2 linked regions of the Drosophila melanogaster genome follow. The protein of the gene in region 1 interacts with the protein of each later gene in a biochemical or structural test. Each region holds a gene or a part of one and is shown on either strand. Other genes may lie near its edges.

What was found. The genes of interacting proteins can lie anywhere in the genome.
Region 2: of the proteins of Hug (region 1) and PK2-R2, one has a biochemical effect on the other in vitro, tested with the Drosophila melanogaster proteins (one study listed by BioGRID).

What each region holds. Positions count from the first base shown.
Region 1 is NT_033777.3:12,524,237-12,529,596, reverse strand, and holds Hug (hugin), read right to left. Parts: upstream 3,410-5,360; 5' UTR 3,242-3,409; coding exon 3,158-3,241; intron 1,847-3,157; coding exon 1,567-1,846; intron 1,022-1,566; coding exon 810-1,021; 3' UTR 521-809; downstream 1-520. UniProt on the Drosophila melanogaster protein: Probably has a role in larval molting.
Region 2 is NT_033777.3:13,328,561-13,336,186, reverse strand, and holds PK2-R2 (pyrokinin 2 receptor 2), read left to right. Parts: upstream 1-2,020; 5' UTR 2,021-2,297; intron 2,298-3,348; 5' UTR 3,349-3,443; exon of another isoform or gene 3,444-3,758; 5' UTR 3,759-3,935; coding exon 3,936-4,290; intron 4,291-4,537; coding exon 4,538-4,703; intron 4,704-4,782; coding exon 4,783-4,915; intron 4,916-5,233; coding exon 5,234-5,432; intron 5,433-5,500; coding exon 5,501-5,715; intron 5,716-5,870; coding exon 5,871-5,984; intron 5,985-6,231; coding exon 6,232-6,849; 3' UTR 6,850-7,117; downstream 7,118-7,626.

The DNA of each region.
Region 1 (5,360 bases):
AATTATTTATTGCATTTATGGAAGTAAAATAAAGAGGTAGTTACTTTTGATAAAAGCCTCAGAACATGGATACTTTAAATTAAAGTTCTCCACTGAAAAAGCATTCATAAAATGTTTCCGTTTCCGCATTCATTGCAAGCCCCGCACAATTTTCTATGCTTCATCAGGCCAAATAAAGCCAGAAGCTTTTGACCGGACCACAATTGTGGCACTGGGTTTTTGAAAGGGCGCGGCAAGGGAACCAAGATATTTTATCAGTCAAAATGCACACACATGGGCCAACTGCAAACGGCAGTTGCCATGGTCAACACTCATGGGCGATTTTGTGGCAACGGATGTTGGCCGCATTTTTCCAATTTACGCGCCCTACCATTGGTTATGAAATTCTCATAAATTTAACTGGAAAATGGCAATATAGTGTATAGTGGACATAGAACCCTAGGAAGCGCAGGTCGTTAATGAAATTGCCATGTTTATTTAATTCCCGGCTCATTTGGAATGTAAAATCAACGCTACTTTTGGGGGCTACACAATTTATTTAAATAAATAATAAATATATGTACGGTATATACACATCATTAGTTCCTCTCAAATCAGGGTTATAGCGCTAGTAACTAGTAGAGTAGTCATTCACTATGCATATATGTGGATTATTTTTGCGTCGCGTCGAATTCAGCTGGCCATTATGGCTTGGTTATGTTAACTCAAGGGCCAGTCGCCTGGCCTCAACCTTGTCCTGGGCTCGTCCTCCGTCCTCCATCCGCAGTCCGATTCCGTGCCGTGCCATGTCCTCGCGCCCTTGTCGTGACTCAATCGCCACCGCACACTTGAGCACGTTTGCCCAGGCGTGGCTTGAACGGCACCGATTTCTTAACCATGCGCTGCATGAACTGCCCGCCGATGGCCTCCTCGCCGCCCGCCATTCCCGTCGCCCCCTCCGCGTCCAGTAGTCGCCAGGAGTCAATGCTGCGGCCAAGGCGTGGCGTCCGCACGCGATAAGCGGGCTCCCCATTACTCTGCACTGTCCAAATGGAAATAGGGAGAGTATTTCATAATATATGTATAAGCATTTTGATAAGGAAAAAATGAATGCGAAATTTTCAAACAATTTTGTTCAAATGTATCCAACATTCTTTGGATAAGTAATAGTTTCCATGATTGAATAACATAAATGAATGAATGGTTAACTCAATTTGAAAAACATTGAACATTGCCTAAGTCACTGTGAAGGAATTTTTCTAGTAAAAATTGCAGATTTCTCGGACTTTTGTACGGTATTGTCATTACGTATGGAGATTGTTCTTTTTTTTCTGAATATAAAATATTCATTTAAATATGCCAATGTCTTGTGAAGTAAAGAAACGACATGCATATTAAATGAAAATAACATTTTCATATTATGTTTTTCTCTCTGCAAAAAATGAGGAAAAGCTTATGTATAAAGTATGCGAACATTATGGAGATGGTTGCGTGAAATGGGAACGTGATTCGGAAACCAATTAGAGCGACTTGCCCTCTTCATACATATATCCTTCACATTTCAGCAGGTGTCCATAGGCAACTTACGCTGTCGTAGCTTTTGAAGGAGCAGGTAATAGGTCAGTGGCGGCATGGTGTCCAAATCGAATTCCTGGCCCTGCGGCGGCATGGCAGCCACCTGCATGGTGGCACTGGCCTTCTGGGCCAGGCTATTCTCCTCCAGCTCGTCAATGATGTCTGTCAGCTCTTTGTAGTCGCCCATGGCGCGCTTTTGACGTGCCTCGCTCAACGCTGGTGAAGCTGGTGATAATGATCCTCTGGCAGAGCCGGCGCTGATGTGATTTCCCAAATCCAGTTTGCTCGTGCCCTGCACAAATAAAAAATGCCATAAAAGCAGGGGCCAAAAAAGCAGGCGAAAAAAGGAGCTAAATATTTGAGATATTTCCTTGGAGGATGTTGTTTTTTTTTACTGAGGGTTCCCACGCTGCCAAACTGTCGACACGTGTTAAGTTATTTTTATGCCGCCTATTTATGCTCATACTCGTACGTGAGCTGCACACACGCATAAAGGTCCTTCCAACCGACTTGCGGGTGTGCCTGTATGTGTGCGTGTGGGTGTCTATGGATGTGAGTGTGAATGTGCGAGTCAAGCACTTTATTGTTTCAATTTACACCCAGGCATGGAAGGCAGATCAGCGTGTGCCGCTTGATTAGACAACTCAATGTAGATTGAAATGCCAACACCTGAAATCGGCTTGTAAATCGCAATTCGCCAATAAACGCTCACTCTAAGCGGATGTCTGCGTGGGCGTATACTTGATATTAAACCTTCATTTGGCTCAGCATTTTCGAATACACTCAGCACAGTCGATATATTTTGCAATATTCTAAGCTGATATGAAAAAGAGCAATGTTGTAGCTGTCGTGAATTTATTGGTTATTTCTTTAGTTTCTTTTAGTTTCCCCGTTTAAATAAAAATATTATGAAACATATTCGTATAATATTCCCTGACAATAAACGAAAAAGAATAAGTTTGTAATTAAATAATTAATAATAGTTACAGTTTGAATTGTAATAACACTAAGCATTTTGTAATGTCCAGAATTTAATACAAAACACTTGCGGATTCGATATCAAACGATATAATTTACCTAAAACCAAATACAACACCACAAATTCCCAACCCAATGAACTATGCATAAACTTGATATAATTATGTCTTTTTGATTAATTAAGGCCTACTAGGTTTTATTACATCTGCACTGCCAAGCATGGAAAGTTATTTTAATTAGTGGTGCGAGAATAAGTTGCGCAACACGTATACGCAGTGTTGCTGCGATTGCAACCGAAATGTTAATTGGATGCCAATTGATTGCCTGCTGGCAGAAAAAAAAAATAGTTGCAGTATCTGCAAACTAATTGGTAGCACTTCAAATGCAGTTGACAGACGGGAAACGAGTGCGCCACATAATGCTGTAAGGCACACGTCAAAGTGAAAACTTTTCGCCCCAAAATTTCCGTTCCAAAAATCCAAGAATTTCAGCACTGGTTGAAAATTATCACGCTAAGCTGGCGAACTTGTGCCTGGGCAAATAACACTAATTAAGTGGCGCTTGTTTGGCCAACAAGCCACAGTACCAACACCACCACATTTTTCCCACTTTGCCCGAGACTCACCTGCAAGGACTTCGCATGACTGCAAACAAGGATGTAGCAGGAAGCCGCGATTAGCAGCAGTGTGCAATAACTAGGACCACACATAACTGGGCCAACTGTGTTCGCTGCTAGGTGTTTTCTGGCGTTTACGAGCGACTGACCTCCCAGGACAGGACAGGACACTCCGGAAGCGCTGGAACTATTAACTTAATAGTCGGACGATCGAATGGAACCGCGTTGCGCTTTGGGACTGCTTTGCGGGACAACTGATGCCAGCAGCGCGGCAGATAGCAAGTTATATAGCCAAATGCTAGCGGCCCCATGCGAGCCTGATTAGGTCCCTGATGGACGGGTGCTAAGTGATTTGTTATGCACTCTAATACCGGCCAAAAGGCAGCCCGCTGGTCAGCGTAAACAAGCGAATCAAGCGGCAAATCCCAAACGGAAGCGCCACCAATTTGTCGCCCACAGAGCAAGTGAAAAATAGGATTCAATGAGTGACTGGCATTCAAATTGGGAAGCTAATTGTAAAGTCTGCAGTGGGAAAAATTACAACAAAATCAAAAAATACATTTTAATACGAATTTTATATGGGCTTTACCTCAATTTCCGGGTTATCACTTTAGTCTGATGATATTTAAACTGACTGTTGCAGGTATTCGTTGATAAGCCACGAAATATTTTATTATAGCGGCTTAATAAACGAGCTAAATGCTTGCTTACTGATAAACCCACAGATGCAGATTTAAATATAAGTTGATAGGTTGTCAAAAGTATGACATAAATAAATTAAACCAAACCCTTTTATTATGACGTATATAAAAAGCTTCTGAATAATCATATAATTCATAATAATAATGGATATGGATTAAATGCCCTCTTAGCAATGGGACACAGGTATTCTCAAATTATTTTCTTTTAAGTGTATCCAGCGTAATCGTGGGGCATCCTGTTTAATGGAAATCTGAGCGCGTGTAAAGTCCATCACGCCCCTGATGGCGATGGCGATGGCATTAGGCCCAACACCCACCACAATGGGGGCAATGTCAATGCCGTTGACGCTGCCAATCGATCAATCTTATTTAAATGTTGACAGTTGTCTTCGCATTGTATCCTGTAGCTTGGGGCCTGTTTTTGCCTGTTTTGCCAGTTCTGCGGATGGGAAAAGGCTTGGGGGAACTCCACAGCTTCGCAGCTGGCTTATTTAAATGCCATCCGTGAGCCGCATTAGGTTCAATTTGCTGGGCAAACACATCTTGCACACCTGCGCTGGCAAGAAGCTTCTCCTTTGACTGACTGAGCTGTCAGCAGGCATTTAAAATCAGATTGTGAGCACTGCGATTGTCGGCTGCCAAGCGAGAATGGGTCAAGAAGGCTGGCAAATCAAATTTCTCATACGCCCCGGAAGACATAAGCTGCGCACACGTGGTCGGGCTTCAATAACAGTTGGCTGCAAATCACGAGAATTTTCAATTATCTAAACTTGGTCCCTGGTCAGACATCAACCATCCATCAATCGAGTGTTTTTCTGGATGCTGTCGTGATGGTCATTCGTGCAGCTGTTGCAGCTACTGGTCGAGTGTTTATTTGTGCCACTAATTTACACAAACATGACCCGGACACGACCCACACACAAACTCGACCTGGTGACCCCCAGCTGGCATTTATTTATTTACTAACTCTACGTACGTGGGACGACCTCTTTTCCAGCCAAGGCCCTGAAGGATTTATCTATTTGCCAACTGCTGAAAATGTATCCTTGACGGACGAAAAAAGAAAAAAAAAAAAATGGAACGAACAATGCCATAAAGTTGCGAAAAATGTAATTTGACAAACCCGTATCTGAGGGATTACCTTGCACTGTAGTTCTTCTCTTTCAATCTATCAACAGATTATATGTGTGAACTAATTGGACGGCCAACGCAAAGTTATATTTCGATGCATTGTTTCTTTTTATCCGACAGATATGTCGAAATGGAAAGTGACCTTGTTCAACGCGATTTTATAAAATAACTGATACAATGTGATATTTAATAAATTGAAGCATGAAATTAGAGCGCAATTTATTTCGTCAAATGTAAATTGTTTCGAAATCTATCTGACAAATTGTTCGTTCGTTAATTTCACGCCTGGGGCAGTTTGCCGCTACAATATTCACTGCCTGCAGGATGAAACCCAAATTACATAGGGCTTTCAACCAAATTAAATAGTTTCTGCCATTGAA
Region 2 (7,626 bases), 800 kb from region 1:
TTTGAAAGGCTTTGCAGTGCATGTGAAAGTCTGCCTTCATTTGGCCAATCGAAGGTCACAATTAGCCACGAGCTATGAAATTTTGTCACCGACTTGTTGAGCGCGTGCGAAGGTTCAATAAATTGGTCCCGCTTAATAAAAAAAGCCGAAACTTGCAGAAATGTTTATACTCTGATTCATAATGCAAACAAAACTAAAGCTACTCTTTAATTAATAATATGTAAGCCAACAAAAAATACAGGCATATAAACAATTAAATGGTATAATCGAAATGAAAGAAAAAGAGAACTATAATAATTAAAAAAAAAAAAACCGTTGTTGTATTCTACTGACAGATAACTTTATATTTGCTGTGCCATCCTTTTTTCCTTTTTAGAAATGTAAAATCAGCCAATTCAAAGTGTTTTAAATGTCTGGGCTCATATCCACTATCTTGTCCTGGCAGACAAGTTTCATATTTTATTTATATAAGCCCCAACTCTTATATTATATTGCCTGTACTTAGGTGAAAGTTAGGGAAAGCAGTGCGCGGCAACGGGTTGGTCGAACTGCAAATGACTTTTGGCCTGCCCTCTCTGCGTGCAATAAAACTAAATGAATTGGAAACTTGCACAAAAATTCAACCAAACTGCTGACGAGGATGCCGCCGTCGCCTGATGACAGAGTCCTGGGCAAAAGGCAAAACTTCAAAATGCCAAACAAAACGCCCCGAATCTGATGTCATGCCCAATGTTCATAAAGAGCAAGGCAAACGAAAATCTCCCCCATTTTCCACTTTCTTGGCCATTTTTCTCGGCTTTCGTCAACAATTGGCAGCCAAAGTTTTGACTGGGAATGCCTTTGCAGCACGTGCTCTGTGTTTTCCCTTCCTTTGAATTCATGAGATACTCGATGTAGAAAATGTTGTAGGGTCCCTGACAAAGAAATGCCAACTCCGACCCTAGATTTTATATCCAACAACCACCAGTATTCATTGTTTGTTTAGGACTTTGTTTTGATTAAGTGCCAAAAAATTGTTTCGAATTATTTACATAAAAATTGAGAAATTGAATGCATGCAATGGATTTGATTTGTTTGCCTCGCGATTCGATTTTCCAAGCGTCTCATATACATTCGCTATATTTGTTTGCTCTTAATATATATCGCACCAACGCTGGGATAGGAAAATACACATTTTATGAGCCGCAAAGCTTTGATAGATTTTCCCGCACATAGCCATAAAAGTTAGGCCCCGGGGCACTAATAAAATCTCCCTTTGACTGATCATAAAACCACGGCATCATGTCCAATTTCGTGACTTGATGTCTGGGGCTCAACGGCGTACAAAGTGGTTGCACAAATTAATTTTAAGCAATTCGGATGTTTTCGCTACAGTAATAAAAGTTTTGCAGAGAAAATCGCACCATATAGTGGCAGTTACATCCAATTATGGTGCGCTGCAATGTAAATAAAATGCATTCATGCAGGAACATATGCATAGTATGCATATGCCAAGTTTTTAAATAGCAAAGTTATATTTGTATATAGTCTCAATTTTACAGAAATACCACGTTAAATCGTTTTCTCACTTAAGGGCACCGAGCGTTTCTAATCCGGAAAATTAGGTTCAGTATAATAAATTTCTGTTCTTATTCTTTGAGCGACCACTTCACCTTTTCCGAGCTGCCTTGACTTAAATTGATTGTGGTTGTCGGTTTAGTTGGGTTTTAAGTGGGCGACAAGGTCGGCATTGCATTGTCCTTTGGCTCTGTTAACATAATAATCAAACAATTTGCCGCCATGGGCAAATTAATACGCCACTAAATAAGATAAACTGCATGGCACTCCAGAATTATTTGCATTTTTATTACCCTTTTGCCGGGGGACCCTTCATATAAGGCCGAAAATCAGCAGCGCGCCGCCGCAGAGAACCGAAAAGCAACCGGTAGTTGTTCGCTGCCGACGTCGCTGTTGCGTCGCTGTTAACGGCAACGACCGTGGCCCGAACGGACTTCGTTGCCAAGATATTTTGGCCAAAAACCCAGTCAGTCGGATGCTGCGGCCCGTTGCTGTAGCCGCCGCCGTCGCTCTTTCGGTTCTTACGTTTTCGGATCATTTGACGACGAAATAAAACGAGATATCGGGAAAACCATCAATTTACGCGTGCCCCTCAGTCATAATTTTACGATTCGGAGAATCATTTTACGTACCAGAATTAATCAGTGCCATACGCAAATAGTTAAAGCCATTAATTCTGTGAGCGTGTATATCAAATTAAGCCCAACACGTTGCGGTCATTAATCAACATTTAGCACATGGTAAAAAACTGATTAGCTATATTGCAATAAAACACCTTAAAAACAAAACGAAATCACATCTCAGAGAAAGTGAGTGAAAGAATGGGGGGAGCACAGAGAGTGCAATGCTCGCAAATGCGAAGGCAGAGTGACAAAATCAAAACAGTTCAAAGCCATAAAAAATAAATGCATTCTGAAAAATGTGGCAGGCATCGTTTGATAAATTTAAATTAAACGTGTTTTAAATGCACAAACGATAGCCAGCCGAGTGTCGAGATATATAATTAATTGCCATTAGGCGGAATGAAAAGTTCCGAACAGGAGCACCGAAACAGTTGTAAACAAGTTGAAAATAAATAAGGCATTATCGGGGGCCTCAAGATCTACAGATTGCCAGTGAAATCCATTGACCCGAAACACTAATGGTGCAGAATCTATAATAACATATTATGCCTCAATGCGAACCGGCTTGCCAAGCGCAAAATATGGAAAATAATAGTAAACCAAATACAAAACTCACACTTTATGGACATGGGCGGGTGCATGGGCATAATTTTTTTCGGTGGGATGCCACACGGTCGATCATCGGAATCATCGGACAACGAAACGAAAACAGAAAAATGAATAAATGAAAACCAGTTTTATCGAATATACAATATAATAAAACCTAATTCGACAGCATTCTTTTGGTTGTGCATATATTGTAGAAACTTTTTTATGATAATGATAATGAAAACGTCCAAAAACGGTCAACAGCGGTCAGCAGCAACAATAACGAAAAGTATAGCCAGAATGTGAACAGAACAGAGCAGAACAGCAGCAGCCGAAAACACTCATCATCTGAATGGAATGAAACTATGTTAATGTTATTAAGTCACCCGGTGTCCATTTGCCATCGTCGTCTCCTTATCCGTCTTATCCACCACCTGACCTTGAGCTTCTGGCTCGTTTCATTCGTTTGCCACCTGGTGTTGGGTGGGAGACGGATCGGCAGGCCTGTCCTTCTCAGCCTTGTAGCAACATCCTTAAATTCATCCAGTGTACACAAATATTTTGACTAAATGCCACTTAGCAATTCAAATTAATTTTCAGCTTCCACTCGCCCTGATCCTGGTCTTTCGCCTAGGACACGCCTGACTGCCGCCTGCCAGTTTCCCAGGATGCCAGGTAAACACACAGGACACAAACACGCTTTAAGACGGGCTCTCTAAGGTGGACCTTAGCAAGCTAAACAAAGCGCACAGCTTACCAACCAAATTGTGTATATGTATAATTTATGGTAATTTAGAAATCTGGAGTAAAAAGCCTTAATGTTTGAATTTGTTTTATTACTAAATTCGTTAAAATGCGTTATTTGTCTTGTATTATTTTATTTAAATTTTAACAAATTTTGAAAAACATAGTTTTATTTAAATAGCACATAGGGTCCACCTTATCACACACATCCGTACACATAATTTAATCCCACACTCATGACAACAGATTGCAAGTGGAGTGGCTCTGGCCTAAGTCGAAATTGATGAGCCCCCGTAAGGGGCGTTATGAAAACATTATTTGCAAGCGAAAGCTTCGATTGAGAATACATACGCAGAAGTCTGAAATTTCCAAAGAAATTCGAAAATAATAGTGCGTATACACACACACAAAGACACACACCCTATGGCAGTCAAAATGCTGCCCACTAACAGTTCCGGTGTCCTGGCAACCGATCTACAACTGTTTCACAATGAGAAATTTCTCTTAAATCTGACACAAGTGCTGAACATCTCCGCGGACAACCTGACCAGCCTTCTCCAGGGCCTGGAGCCGGAGGAGCTTTTGCCCACGGTGACCCCGATGACACCACTTTCACTGCTGGCCACCCTAAGCGTGGGCTACGCCCTCATATTTATCGCCGGCGTTTTGGGCAACCTCATCACATGCATTGTCATTTCGCGGAACAACTTTATGCACACGGCCACCAACTTTTATCTGTTTAACCTCGCTATATCCGACATGATTTTGTTATGCTCAGGTGAGTGCAAAACTAAAATGTTCATGGTTTTTGAATTATAATTTAATTCAGTTCAGTAGTGCAAACAATAAATGGAACTGAGGCATATTAAATTAAAATTTGTAAATAAACAAGAAAATGTAGAGTGAGATATTCGGCAGATGCTCAAATCGATTTGCATTTTGAGGCTATAGGCTATAATTTCAGCTATTATTAAATATTTATAATCACACTATATATTTTGCTATTTTGCTATTTATGTTCTTAGGAATGCCGCAGGACCTCTATAACCTCTGGCACCCGGATAATTATCCTTTCAGTGACAGCATCTGCATATTGGAGAGCGTTCTCTCGGAAACGGCGGCCAATGCGACAGTTCTAACCATTACCGCGTTCACAGTCGAACGATATATTGCCATTTGTCATCCGTTCAGGTAAGGGAACCTTCATTCCTTCCACTGCCCATTTCCATTTTGCCCCAAACTTGCTTAATTGGTTCTGCTTTCGATACAGGCAGCACACGATGTCCAAGTTGTCACGGGCCGTAAAGTTCATATTTGCCATCTGGATAGCTGCCCTTTTGCTGGCCCTGCCCCAAGCCATTCAGTTCTCCGTGGTGATGCAGGGCATGGGAACATCGTGCACGGTGCGTATGATTGATGCGAGACCCTTAATCGTATGTCCCCCAGTTATGAGTTACCTGGTTAATTGATTCGTAGAACCGGTCCTTTGATCCTTTGATTCATTATGTGTTTTCCGTATAGAAAGTTCGAATAGAGAGCCTTTGTGAATTACAAAAAATTTAAGAGCATGATAAAAACAGCGACAATCCCTTACGAGGTTCGACTCAGTTTAGGCAATCAAATTTACAGCCATTGCCTTCCGGCTGTGGCTGTAAGCCAAAACCATATCGTATCGCATGCGAATACACATATATATTATTTTTGTGAAATGCCTGCTGTAGATGAAAAACGACTTTTTTGCCCATGTGTTTGCTGTGTCGGGCTTCCTGTTCTTTGGCGGACCCATGACGGCCATCTGCGTGCTCTATGTCCTCATCGGGGTGAAGTTGAAACGGAGCCGACTCCTGCAGGCGCTTCCCAGGCGATGTTACGATGTAAACCGGGGGATAAGCGCCCAAACGCGAGTCATCCGGATGCTGGGTAAGCAGGATATGAAATATCCGAAATAACTCATGGTTGCATCAGGCGCCCTTATCCAACTTTCCCAGTGGCGGTGGCCGTGGCCTTCTTCATCTGCTGGGCCCCCTTTCACGCCCAGCGGCTGATGGCGGTCTATGGATCCACCTCGGGCATTGAGTCCCAGTGGTTCAACGACGTGTTCAGCATCCTCGACTATACGTCCGGTGTTCTCTACTTCCTCTCAACTTGCATCAACCCGCTGCTCTACAACATCATGAGCCACAAGTTTCGTGAGGCTTTTAAGGTGAGTTTCGCTGCCGGATATTCATTTCTATAGCTTGCGTTAGGAAATTGAAAATAAGCTTCAGGTTACAAGTTTATTAATCGATTCTTTAACGGTCAATTTAGTGATTTTAAACTTCAAGCTAGAATTAAAAAACGTATTTAATCCCATTTTAGGTAACTTTGGCTAGACACTTTGGACTTGGTGGCAAAAATCAGGGAAGGGGGCTTCCTCATACTTACAGCGCTCTTCGACGTAATCAAACGGGTTCACTGCGGCTGCACACAACGGTGAGTGCACTGAGAAAAATTACATAATTATCATTCGATATATGCACTTAAATTCTATTATGTGGCATTATTTAAGAGGAAAATGAAAAGGATTAATATAGTGTATGTCCTGTTTCTCAAAATGAAATTTGAATCACGAGACTTTTTAAAACCACTATAAGATGTTTATTGCGTTACTTATTTTCGTGTCTGGCGACTGCACTTTCCCTTTCTGATTATCCCTCCATTCCTTGATTTCCTCCTGCAGGACAGCGTTCGCACCACAATGACTTCCATGGCGACGACCACCACTGGGCTAAATGGCTCTGCCAATGGCAGTGGCAATGGAACGACAACGGGTCAGTCGGTGCGCCTGAACCGCGTGTCCTTGGACAGTGTCCAGATGCAGGGTCAGAATCGCAGCCGGCAAGACCTCTTCGATAATCCGCGTCGCATGCTCCAGACGCAAATATCGCAGCTGTCATCGGTGGGCGATGCCCATTCCCTCTTGGAGGAGGATTTGCAGTTTCCCGGGGAGCCACTGCAGCGCCAGCCCACGATGTGCTCCATTGACGAGCTCACAGATGACTTGGCCATCTCGCGGTCACGCCTTAAACTTACGCGCATCACCCGCCCACCAGGAGGTGTGACGGGGGGCGTGGCAGGAGGCAGCACAACAGGGGCCGCGGGGTCGGGGGGCGTGAGCGGTGACGAGTCGAGTGGCAAAGTGCGCAAGGCGAAAGTGAAAGTGCTCAAGAGCTCAAGCCCGTTCAAGGGTCTCAGGACCAAATTCAATTGGCGTGCCAGACGCAAAGGCAGCCACAAACCGCACGAAAAGGGGGCGACGGTGAATGGAGGCGACACTGAAGAGCGGGCCGCCTTTTAAAGGGGGTCAGCATATCCTCTATCTGTACTCGATAAGCGAGGTAGTCCATTCCAGTGCCACCTACGTACATTACACACACACACAACTGTGATACGAGCAGCAAGCGCCACTCCAGCTTGTTTGTGTTTTAATTTAGACAAATATTCCGCGTTTGGGGTCAATTATATGGTTGTCCTTACCAATAACCGTAATATAGCCCAAAGCTATAGTTCGAATTATAGTTATAGTGCACGTAATCGAATAAACTATGTAGTTATGTACTCAGTTCAAAAATTCGACCGTTGTTTCATTTATAAAGTGGAGTTTAATAAAAAAAGAATGGACTTTTGATAAAAATAAAATGAATCTACATAGTTAAGCGTAAATAGTATTTGGAGTACAGTGATATATAAATACATATTAAGGTTGATACCCTAATGGTTTTATTATACAATTTAAATATAAAAGCGATCTCAGTTTTTTAAACAGCTGACCGACTTTGTTAGCAGTCCAATAGAAACTGTTATCTAATGTCAGTTTTTCAATATCCATTAATAACATTTCTCTTGCAGTAAATATTTTTTTCCCATTTAATGAATACATTTTTTTTTTTTGAAAGAGTGTGGATCAAGTGGGGATTATCAAGAAGAGGGTTCAATGGGCGTCTGGCTAATTACTGTCAGTAAAAAGCGGGCACTGCATCATAATCCCTGGCCATTAAGATGTTTATCTGGCGCACAAATTCGCTTTTTGGTCTGGAGTCTAGACAGTGGATGAAAGCCATTCTCGCGATTGGCC